Linked DNA regions of Notamacropus eugenii. The protein of the gene in region 3 interacts with the protein of the main gene of each other region in a biochemical or structural test. Links are inferred from orthologs where the notes say so. Each region holds a gene or a part of one and is shown on either strand. Other genes may lie near its edges. The genes, in order: PML, KLF10 and SP1.

Region 1 (3,744 bases), on a different chromosome or scaffold from region 3:
GGGTTTTCTTGGCAAAGTTACTGGAGTGGTTGGCCATTTCCTCTTCCAGTTCATTTGACGTATGAGGAAACTGAGGCAAACTGGGTAAAGTGACTTGCCCAGGGTCACACAGCTAGTAAGTGTCTGAGGTCAGATTTGAACTCAGGAAGATGAGTTTTCCGGATACCATCCCAGCACTCTATCCACTGCATCACCTAGTAGTCCATGGAGTCAGGAAGACCTGAGTTAAAATTCTACCTTGGATATCTACCAGGATCCTGGGCAAGTCACTTCACCTATTTGCCTCAGTTTTTTCATCTGTAAAGTGGGGATGATAACAGCACCTACCAGAGTGGAACAAATGAGATAACAATTGTCAAGGGCTAAGTATGACTCCTGGCACATAATAGACACTATGTAAACGCTAGCGATGACAATTACTCTTAATTACATGAAATTATAACGGTAAAGCACTTAGCACAGTACCTGGCACACAGTAAGCTCTATGTACAAATTGTTGTTGTCAGTTCAGATCTTCAGATAATCACTAGCTGAGTGACCTAGGGCAAGTCACTTCATTTGGTCTGCCTCAGTAAAATGGGGGTGCTGATAATAGCTTCTGCCTCCTAGGTGGTTGTGAGGCTCGACTGAAATATTTGTGAAGCTCTTAGCACAGGGCCTGGCACACAGTAGCACACAGCTATACCCAAGCTGGTTATTTTTATTCTTATTAAATGAGATAATATTTGTAAAGTCCTTAGTACAGGCCTGGCTATAGAAGGTACACTAGCAATCGTCACTATTGTTATAGAATGCAATGCTCTCTGTAAAGCGCCCGGCACACAGTAGGTGCTTCATGAATGCGAACCCCTTCCTTCTTGTCTCCCAGGTTCCCACCCTTCAGGTGAGTTACCTGGCCCCAGGTACCTGCCCCCGCCCTCACCTCCTCGGTGCTGGCGCGGGCTTTGGTGCCGCCGCTGGTGCTGGCTTCGGGCTGGCTAGGACTCACCGGCTCGTTGGGGAAGGTCCAGGTGGAAGCCGTGGCCACCGACACCAGGATGGGAGGAGGAGGGGACGAAGGTGGTGGAGGGTCTGCCATCTGGTCGGGCTTGGTGGAGGTGGCCCGCTCCGAAGTCATGGAAAGCTCCTCACAGTTTCGATTCTCAGCAGGTGACCTGGAAGGAGCGGGGCGGAGAGGGTCAGAGGGAGGCAGCGAGGGATGCGCATTGGGGGAGCCCGGCATCTGGGAGGAGCACCCCGCGAGCCCGCCTACCTTGGAGGCTGACGTTTTAGAACACCGAGGGGAAGAAGGGGGGGTGAGGGAGGGAGAAAAGAGGAGGAAAGAGAGACGGGAGGGAGAGGGAGTGAAAAAGAGGAAAGGGAGAAGGGAGGAGGAGAGGAAGATAAAAAGAGGAGGAAAGGGCAGGGAAAGGAAAGAAAAAGGAGAAAGGGAAGATAAAAGAGGAAGAGAGAGATAAGAGGAGAAGGGGAGGAGGAAGGAAAAAAGGAGGGGAGGGAAGGAAGAAGAGGAGGATGGGAATAAAAAAGATGAGGAGGAAGAGAAGGGGAAACAGGAGGAATGTGGGGAGGAAGATGGGGAGGAAGATGAGAAGGAAGACGAAAAGGAGAAGAAACGGAGAGGGATGGGTCTGGTCCAGTGGGTACTGCAGGGGCACCTGCACTGGGTGGGCTCCAGGGAGGTCCCTGACCCTTCTTGAGTCCTAGGGATGGAGGCAGCCCACAGTCCCTCCAGCTCACAATGATCAAGGGCAGAGACAGGTGCTGATGCTGATGCTGAGGGAGGAGCCCCGGGAGTCGGGGCTGCCCGAAGGGGACAGGGGAGGAAGGTGCAGGGTTACGTGGTCAAGCTGGGTACCGAGAGCCGGCAACAGAAGCTGTTGTCAAGCAACAGAGACCCCCAGGGTTCCTGCAAGATGCTCCTGCCTTCTCTGTCTGAGCCGAGAGGCTAAGCCAGGGGGCGGGGTGAGGGGGGCTTGACAATTGGGGGAGGCAGGGGATGGGATGAGGGATGGGAAGCAAAGGGCAGCCTCACCCTGACTCCTCGTTCTGGGACATCTGGCCTCCTTGGACTGGACCGACCTGGGAGGATGGCAGTGCAGGATGCAGTTCCGGATGACAATGATCTCCGACCCCCTCTTTCGCACCCTGAGTGCTGTTCTGGGGAGAGAAGAAAAAAGCTTCAGGAGGTGACAGATCCCTGCCCGCCGGGAGCTCCCAGTCAAGCTGGGGAGCTGAGACAGACAAGGGAGAGGGGCTAGAGAGAAGGATTACGGTCCTGCTTAAATTGCAGTCTTTTCATCTATCCACCTCCCTCTTCTCTCCCTTCTCCCTTCCTCCCTTTTCTTCTTCCCCCCTTTCCTTCTTCCCCCCTCTCCTTCTGCACATACTCAATTGTACCACCTCTGTACTTGTGCTCATTGAACGAGGCCTGCTCCCCCTCCTCAACCTTCAAGATGGAGCCTTCTCTGACCACCACTGCCAACGCTGATCTCTGAATCATAGTATGTAGGAGACGGAAGGGACTCCCGCCCCGCCCCCACTTCACCCCCACCCCTTTCACACAATCTCAAGAGCCGGAAGGATAGTCCAGCCCCCTCGATTTACAGATGAGAAACTGGATGTTTAAGAAAGGTTCAGCGACTTCAGGAGGGTCACCCAGCAGGTTAATGATAGACCTTGGACTCCACCATTGGTCTGCCAATTCCAGTATCCAAATCCCAAGCAACGTGGCGGTACAAGCCAAAGATCGCTGAATTTGGAAGCGGGGGGCTTCACATTCCCTTCTCTGCTGCTTATTATCCGTGTGACTTTGGACAAGTCCTTTGATTTCTCTGAGATGCCTCAGTTTCCCCAGTTCCCTGAAGGGGAGATTGGACTAGGTGGTCCCTTAGAATGTCTGATTTGCTACCTCCTGTTGCACATGGATGGATTCTACACCGTAGTTCAGCTGTAGCTTTCTAATCCTGTTATTTCTTGACTCCTCAACCAAAGTGTGAGTCCCCAAGGACTGGTCCAGGGGTGGAGAACCTTCGAAGCTGAGGGCCTCCATGTGGCCCCACAAGTCCCCAAGTGTGACCCTTTGACTGAATCCCATGGATTCCACAAGTTCCCCACCCCCAGACTGGTCTAATGAAAGCGTTTACTGAACTCCAACTATGTGCTAGATGCTATGTTAGGGAATTTATGGGAGATCTAAAAATAAATATAACATAATCTCAGCCTTTAAGGAGTTTGTAAGAGTAAGAGTAAGTTCTTAATCACTTACAAAAGGCTTCACATTTCTTTTTTTTTTTTTTTCAATAAATATTTGTCAGTGGGGCTGCTTATAAATGTCAATGGTTCATATTGGATTTCCAGTAAGCAGCCAAGAAGAAAGATTACTGGTGCAAGACAGGTTGGTGGTCTACAATACCTTCCTGAAGGTTCATAGCAGCCTAGGAGCTGGAGGATGCTGAAGTTCAGAGAGGTCACACTGGCAGGAAGGGATAAAAAATGGTATGGAAGACATGAGGATGGCTAGGTAGCTTTGGAAGACTTTGGGGAGAATAACATATTTTACTTTCATGCCAGAATCCTTTATAGACGCTCTGGGAATAAAAGTGAAATCTGTCATATGGGAATTAAGGGAGAAAGTGTGCAGATAAAGAGAGAGTGGGAGAAAGAAGAGTACCCAATGTGCCACCCCCCCTCACAACCAGGGCCACAATCAAGAAGGAATTCTGATGGACATGCACTGAGAATTCA
Region 2 (3,744 bases), on a different chromosome or scaffold from region 3:
TCACACGGGGAAACTGCAAGGAGTCCCCCAGGGTAGAGCCGAGGGAACACGCTGCCCGGGATTGTGTACACGCTCTACTGACACTGGCTTCACGCTGCCGGGCAGCCGCTGATCACGCGTGGTCCCCTGAGCCCATTGGCCGGCGCCTCACACACCTTTGCAGCTGATTGGACCAGCGCAGGCTCCGCCCCCGCCCCCTCCCTCGGCGCTAGGCAGGCTGAGCGGCTACCTGAATGGGGGGGGTGGACAGACGGCGAGGAGCGCTGGAGCGGCGGGAGCGGCAGCGCGTGTCTCTGGTAGCCCGTCACTAGCCAGCCATGCTCAACTTCGGGTCTTCCCTCCAGCAGCCTTCGGTGAGTTGTCCCAGTATCTCCCTGCAGCTACCATTTCTCCAGAGGGCCACGACCCCCCGGCTCCCTTACTCCTGGCATGCCTGAGCAGAGGAGCTGCTGGAGTCCCGGGCGGGGGGCTCGTCTTCTCGCCTCTTGGCTGACCAGACCGAGAGGACGTGGGGGATCGATAAGGGGGTGTCCGAGGAGAGGAAGGGTCTGGAGAGGCATTGGGATTCTGGGGCAGGTAGCTCTGATGAAGGATGGACGGAAGAAGGGGAGGGGGCTGCAGGGCCAGGACAGCGGGGAGGGTGGGGGCCGCTGGCTGGTCTGGCACCTGGAGGAGGGGAAGGCGTAGGGGCTGCCCGGTAGGTAACCGAAAAGGCGGGAGGGATGAAAGGAGAGGAGAGGGGTGCAGGGATGAGAAGAGCGGGAAGGATGGGGACAGAAAGGGTGAGGAGGGGAGGCGGCTGCCCCTGGGGACATTGAGGAAAGGGCGGGTAGGGAATGGGGAGGGGGGGCCGAGTTACTGATGCAGAGGGTCGAGTACAGGTGCACTGACGGGGGCGGTACGTCTGGGAAGAGAGGGCCCTAAATTTGGGGCAAATGGGGAGGTGGTACGCAAAGCAGGAGGTGGAGGGCTTTCCGCTTGGGGGGAAGGTTAAGGCTATATACGAGTTAAGTTTGGGGGGTCCTACTGGGGGCATATGAGGGAGCGGACGGGCAGGGGGCTGTTGCAGGACATTTGGAGCGGAGGACTAGCGGGGGCGGGAGCTGCGTTAAGCGAGGGCTGGAGGGCTCCGAGCGCGCCCAGTCCGGGAACAGGAGGGAGGACGGGAGCTGCCCTCCGCGGGGGTGCAGACAGGGGCGGGCTACTGCCCCGCAGGGTGTCGGAGCGCGAGAAAAGGGGTTGTGGGAGGGACGAGAGCGGGGCCGTGGGTGGCAGGGAGACACGCCGCGTGGGGGCCGAGCCCCGCTCAGTCTGGGAGCTGGGACGTCTCTGGGGGCCGCCCGTCTGGGAAACCGTGTCAGAAGGAGTGGCGGGGGCCGCGCCTCCCGGAAATGGCCGGGGAGGGGGAGCGTCCGTGGAGGGCTGCGAGGTGGTCTGAGGTCCCGGGGCGGGGGCGGGGAACGCTGGAGGAGGAGGGAGGAGGAGGGGGCGGGGGCGGGGGCGGGCGGAGCCCAGCCCAGCCCGGCCTCTATCTGAGCGCAGCCAGGCTGGGCGTGGGGGCCTCGGGGTCAGCGCTCGGGCCGGGGGGCGGGGCTGAGGCGCGCCGGGTCCCCCCGGACCGGCGGCTGAGGAGAGGCGGGGGGAGGGTTTCCGCGGCGGTGGCGGCTCCGGCCCCTCCCGGCCGCCCAGGCTGGAGGGGGCTGGGGGAAGGGAGTGGAGCCTCTCCTCGTCCCCGGGTGACCCAGCCCTTGCCTGTTGGGGCGGGGAGGGAGGCCCAGCCCCTCTGTCGGTTCCTAAGGGAACCGCGGCTGGCTGGAGGCAAGAAGAGGCGGGGGAGTCTCCTTCCCCCTAGGCGGGGGGGGGGGGGGGAGGAGGGTGCGGCGCGGTCCCCTCCCCCCTCCACCCCCAGTCCTCCGGCGCGGACTGCTGGGAGGTTGGCGGCTGCCTCCTGTCCCCTCCTCCCTCTCCCGCCCTGACGCGGGGGCGGGTTGGGCCCTGCGGTCTCGGGAAGTAGGTGAAAGGTGAACGCGCGGCAATTCCCAGTTCACGTTTCCTGCCAGCCCGGGAGCAGCCGGTGATCACGCTTTGTTCACATGCCTCCAGCCCCAACCCCCTCCTCGTATCGCTCCCGCCCCCTTCTTGGAGCTAGCCAATCCCGATCCACGCCGCCGGTCCGGACGGGCCAATGGCAGAGGAGGGATGCGGGTACGTGCGAGCAGTGAGGAATGTCCCGCCCTGAATCGCCCTGGAGCCTTTTTGAGGTTAGGGCGGCCCCCTCTGGTTGTTCTCGCCCGAGAGGATCTCCCCCGCTGTCTGCCAGCCCCCCCTTCGTTCTCCTCCCTCTGTCTGCCTCCCCTGCTTCCCCTTCCTGCCCCGCTCCCTTTCCTCCCCCTCCCTGTTCCTGTTCTCTCCCGGCCAGCTTTGGAGTTCCTGCCTCTGAAGCGGGTCTACCCGATGCTTGTCCTGACTTGGAGAAGCCTGGGTGGGATGGCACTAGGACCATCCTGTCTTTCAGGGTGGGTTTTTTCTTTTAAATTATTACTAGTTAAGCTCTTCAATACTGCACTTCAGCTTCGAAGAAATAACTATTTTTTACCACGGAGGGAAAAGTGGTTTTGAGTCCCTTAGGTCCCCCAACTCGTGCAAGGGAATACAGTATATTAGTATATGGAAAGTATGTATCTACCAACTGGTATTTAAACCCAACCAAACCTGAATAGCTGCGCGAGTTAATTAAAATATGAGAGCCAAGCTTTCGGTTATTCAGAGGCTGATTACTCACTTTAGCCAGGCGTTTGGTTTTTATATCTTGTAATGCTTGGTTTTTACTGCTGGGCCATAAAAGGAAAAGGTTGCAGGTGTGCAAAAAATAAAATAGTCTAACATGAAGCTTAGAGTTTTCTGAACATTACATTTGACCTCCACCACAGATAAAAAGAGCAAAAACTTTCGAGATCATCTAGTCTCCAAGATTTTAACAACCTTTTTTTGTGTGTCATGGACGGCCCCTTTCTTAGCATGTTTTTAAATAAGCATCAAATAAAATTAATAGGAATGCAAAGGGAAAGAATTCTATTGGAATATAATTTTTGAAATTCAAGTTCATGGACCCCAGTGTAAAAACTCCTGATATAGTCCAATCTCACCATTTTACATTAGAAAATAAAAGCCCAGAGTGACTTGTTCCAGTAGAGTTTGAGTCAAAATTAGAACCTAGGTCCCCTGAAGCCTCAGTGCTTGGTTCCAGTTATATCTCACTGCTTTTATAAGAAAAAGATAGGGTAATTTTTTTTCTCTGAGAAATTCATACTGCACAAAAGAGCTCACAGAATTTTTGCAGTCTTACAAATATCTTTTTACAAAAGGGGAACTTAATATATCATGCACACACCCTAAACTATCTTGTCCAAAGCTATTTAGCGTGTCATTTGGTTTCAGATCCACCTCTCTTGATTTACATGTAGTTAACACAAATGCAAATTTTATTTCTTGACCATTATATTAGTTAACATTTAGGCTTAAAACCTAAAAGGTTTTTTTGTTGCTACTAACACGAGTTTTCAGTCTCCTGAAGAACAGCCACTTTATTTTTGTCTTGTCTGTCATAATATGGAGGGAAAGAAAAAATAACTTTATTTTTTAATATCAAGTGGTGTTCGGGTAACTCAGGTGTTTTTTTCCTAAGTTATACTATAATTTAATTTACCATTTAATTGTTAAAAGATAGTGATAATTTCTGATTTT
Region 3 (3,744 bases):
GGGAACTGGGAGTCAGGGTGGCCGCAGCAACACTATTGACAGGCAGCAGGGTGATATTCCCATTCAGTGCTACTGGGACATTGGCCACATACTGAGTCTGTCCCGAGAGGACGTTATTGGCCAAGCCTTGGAGGGGGACAGCCTGCTGGAGCAGGTTTGGCATAGCAGCGATGATATTGCCTCCACTCCCTCTATTTGTAATAATCTGCTGGTTTGCCCCAGGTATTATCTGAATTTGACCAGAACCATCTTGCTGCACTTGGGCCCCAGTAGTGGCAAACTGCAGCTGTTGCCCATCTACAGTCTGGAACTGGGGGATTACTTGGTACTGAATGTTAGGCATCACTCCAGGAAGTCCTGTCAGAACTTGCTGGTTCTGTATGTTGGGGGTGGTGGTAACAACATATTGTCCACCAGAAACTGGGCGGTTCTTGGAGGATTCACTACTACTGCTACCATTGCTATTGCTGCCACCCTGATCCTTTGAGGTAGGGGTAGCCCCAGAGGAAGAGATGATCTGCCAACCATTGGCACCTTGGGTGAGTTGTGTGGCTGCTGTGAGATCCAGCTCACCTGAGCCCCCTGACTGGCTTGGGCCCTGGGAGTTGTTGCTGTTTTCATTGGGTGACTCGATTCTGCTGCAAGTGGCTGCTAGCAAAGCCAGTGGGGATGGCTGGGACTCCTGGTCAGAGAGGAAAGGAAGGAGATTATCGATGTGTCACGTGTCAGTCACACAAACACCAAGAACACAAGACAAAATACGGTCTACTACATGAAACATAAACACTAACATATCACAGGAGTCAGGCAAGTCCAAAAAGGACCCAGTGCGCGGTCCAGAACGGTCTGAAGAAGCACACCAAGGCGTGGGTCTCTCAGGCACTACCACGGAACACAATCTGAGGCCAGAACCACTCACGCTCCGTGTCAAGGCCCTGGCCTCCAGACGTGCTAGCGCTTGAGAGAATGCCCCGAACCGCTCAATGGACGCCCCAGTGGCAGGCTCCCGTCCGCTCGCTGCCCAAGCGCACCCAGGCCCGCTGCCAGGCCCAAGGTCCGGGCCGCACTCACCTGCCCGCCGCCTCCTCCACTGCTGCTGCTGCCGGTGCTGCTGCTGCGGGTCTGGGAAAAGCCGCCGCCCCCGTTGCTGCCGACGCCTTTCTCAATCTTCACCACAACGGGCATCTCATCCACGGAATGATCTTGGTCTGGAGAAGATGAAAGAGGCCACAACGTTCAGAGGCGGCGAGGGCGGGGGGCGGAGGGGGGCGAGCCGGGCTGGCCTGCGGGGGCCCCTTTCTCGGGCATCTCGGCCTCGGGGCGGCAGCGGGGTCTCCGGGCACGCCGCGAGGAGGCGGCCGGGGAGCAGGGGCCAGTGCTCCGGGGAGGCGGGAGGCGGGATGCTGGGCATGGCAGCCGGGCCCGGGAGCCCTCCGGGGGATGGGGGGACAAGAGGGGTTGGGGGCCCGGGCGGCGGCCCGAGGTGGGGATGGGGTGGGGGTCCCTGGGCCGAAGGAGAGAAGGCGGTTTCGGGGGCGGAGAGGAGGCGGGCCGAGGGGGGCCAGGGCGGTTTCGGAGGGATGGGCGGGACGAGGGCGGGCCCGTGGGGGGGCCCCCCGAAGGGGTGGGGGGGATCCACGGCGGGGTGGGGGAGGAGGCCGGGGGCAGCAGCGGCGGCGGCGGCGGCGGCATCGGCGGCAGCGGCCCCAAGGCGGGCGGGCGGGAGGCGGAGGGCCCGGGCGGGGCCCGCGGGGCTCCGGCGCCCCCTCCGGAGGAGCCTGGGGCGGGCGAGCCGCCCGGCGGGCGGGCGGCGGCCGGGGGAGGCCCGTCCCCCGTGGCCGGGGCGGGCAGGGGGCGGGCGAGGCCGCGTTGCCCCCTCCCCCGGGGCGGGCAGCCCATCCCCCCTCCCCCTCGGAGGCCCCGCCACTGCCCCGGCTCTCGCTCGCTCCCTCCCTCGTCCCTTCCCCTTCCCTCCGCCCCGGGCGGGACCAAGGCCGCCGCCGCCGCCTCCCGCCCGCCCCCCCTCTCGGCGGGGACCGCCCGGTTGGCCCGCGCGCGCGCCCCCTCACCCGCTTCCAAGCCCCCAGCGTGGAGGGCACGGATCCTTACCGCTCATGGTGGCAGCGCGGGCACGAGCTCTGGGAGGGGGGGTCCTGCAGCGGGGGGGGTTAGGGGGGGCCCGGGGAGAACGCGGACGCTGACGAGGCAAGCGAACCTGGACCGGACAGGGAGGGGGGGGTGAGGAGGAGGGAACAGCGCGCCACAAGCCCGGCCTAGGCCCCGCCCATCGGCCGCTGCCCCGCCCAATGAGGGAGGGGGAAAAGAGGGACTTACGGAAGAGAGGCGGATCGATCGACCAATGGGAAGGATTATTGGCTCGCTAGGGCGGTACCCGCTGTGCAGAAGGGCGTTGCGTGGCTGGCGTTTGCCTCATAGGATCGGCCCTCCATTTCGAAAGACCAATAAGAAATGGGTCTCGAAGAGAGAGGTGGGTCCTTTTAAAGATGGACTTGTGAATTCGCCAATCAACAACCAGGCGGGCTCTCTACGGCGCAAGGATTGGGTGATTTTTGTAGAAATGACGAGAGGGAGGATCAATCAGAGTTTTGGACATGGCTCCGCAAAGTACAGGTTTGCGCACACGGGGCGGATTTATCTGAAGGTGACCAATCACAAACCAGAAAGGTGCCTGGGCAAGCCATCATTGGAAGATTCCTAGAAGCGGACGGGACTAAATTTACATTGACGTGACAGGACAACCAATAAACCACGAAATAAGTTTTGTGAGGGAAGTCAGAGCTTGAGAGAGCGGAATCGGCCTCCCCTGAATCCCTTCCACCAATGAGGAAACAGATTTAGCCGGGCACCGCCCTAAATTGGCCAATGGGCGTTGGCCAGTGGCGCCTTGTACTGGGGAGGGAATGGGGGGTTGTGCCAATAGTCCTCTGCCGCCATGTTGTTTTTTTACCTAGGCGTCTTCACGAGCCTTAAGCGAGCTGGCGGCGGGGCTCTAGCCTCCGGGGGCGGAGTGTGGGGAGCCCACCCGCCCCCTTCCTCCTCCTCGCTCCGTCCCCCTAGCCCTGCTCCTGCTCCGCCCTGGCCCGTGCGGGGACTGGAGCTCTGGGAAACTACCCCCACCCCCTCGCCGCGTCCCACGCCTGGCCCTCCGGGGGGGGGGGGGGGGGGGAAGGGAGGAGGGAAGGAGGGAGGGGGAGGGGCAGCCGGAGGTCGCTCCTGGCACGTGTTCCGTCCTCCTTTCTGCTTACCCCAGCTTTACCCCTGGTTAGGCTCTGGGCACGCGGGGCTCCCTCTTTCCCCCGCCATCGAACCAAATTCAGATCGAGTACCTCCACAGAACAAGGCCTGGGGAAGTCCCCTCCGCCGGCTTCCACCCTAATCAATCCAAACTATGCCGGAAATCGGGGACGCAAGGTCACCAAGTACATCGACGTTATTGAAGGTCATAAGACTGTGAACGAGGGAAAACCAGATTAACTCAGATGAGTAAAATGCACACGGATGTGAGGGAGGAAAGAAGGAAGGGGGGGAAGCATCAAGGACCTCCCTTAGGCCGGGGACAGTTCAGGGAAGCCCAGGAACCCCGTCTGCCAGGGGAGGCAGTGAAGCTGCCGGGGCACCCCGAAGGCTCTCCTCCTTTTCTGTAGTTCTGTCCCAGCAGACAGTCTGGGTGAGGCCTGCGGAAGCAGCAGAAGGGATCCATGAGGAGGCTGCGGCCAAGGCCCG

What was found.
Region 1: the proteins of SP1 (region 3) and PML form a complex in vitro, tested with the Homo sapiens proteins (2 studies listed by BioGRID, with this or other methods). The link is inferred for Notamacropus eugenii from reciprocal best matches to the Homo sapiens genes SP1 and PML.
Region 2: the proteins of SP1 (region 3) and KLF10 form a complex in vitro, tested with the Homo sapiens proteins (2 studies listed by BioGRID). The link is inferred for Notamacropus eugenii from reciprocal best matches to the Homo sapiens genes SP1 and KLF10.

Annotation. Positions count from the first base shown.
Region 1 is NC_092872.1:242,512,500-242,516,243, forward strand, and holds the start of PML (protein PML), read right to left. Parts: upstream 2,495-3,744; 5' UTR 2,419-2,494; coding exon 2,401-2,418; exon of another isoform or gene 2,388-2,400; intron 2,158-2,387; coding exon 2,033-2,157; intron 1,155-2,032; coding exon 923-1,154; intron 1-922.
Region 2 is NC_092875.1:148,185,424-148,189,167, forward strand, and holds the start of KLF10 (Krueppel-like factor 10), read left to right. Parts: upstream 1-919; 5' UTR 920-1,036; coding exon 1,037-1,429; intron 1,430-1,927; exon of another isoform or gene 1,928-2,199; coding exon of another isoform or gene 2,200-2,205; exon of another isoform or gene 2,206-2,225; coding exon of another isoform or gene 2,226-2,261; intron 2,262-3,744.
Region 3 is NC_092874.1:226,345,611-226,349,354, reverse strand, and holds the start of SP1 (transcription factor Sp1), read right to left. Parts: upstream 2,259-3,744; 5' UTR 2,117-2,258; coding exon 2,110-2,116; intron 1,209-2,109; coding exon 1,072-1,208; intron 683-1,071; coding exon 1-682. UniProt on the Homo sapiens protein: Transcription factor that can activate or repress transcription in response to physiological and pathological stimuli.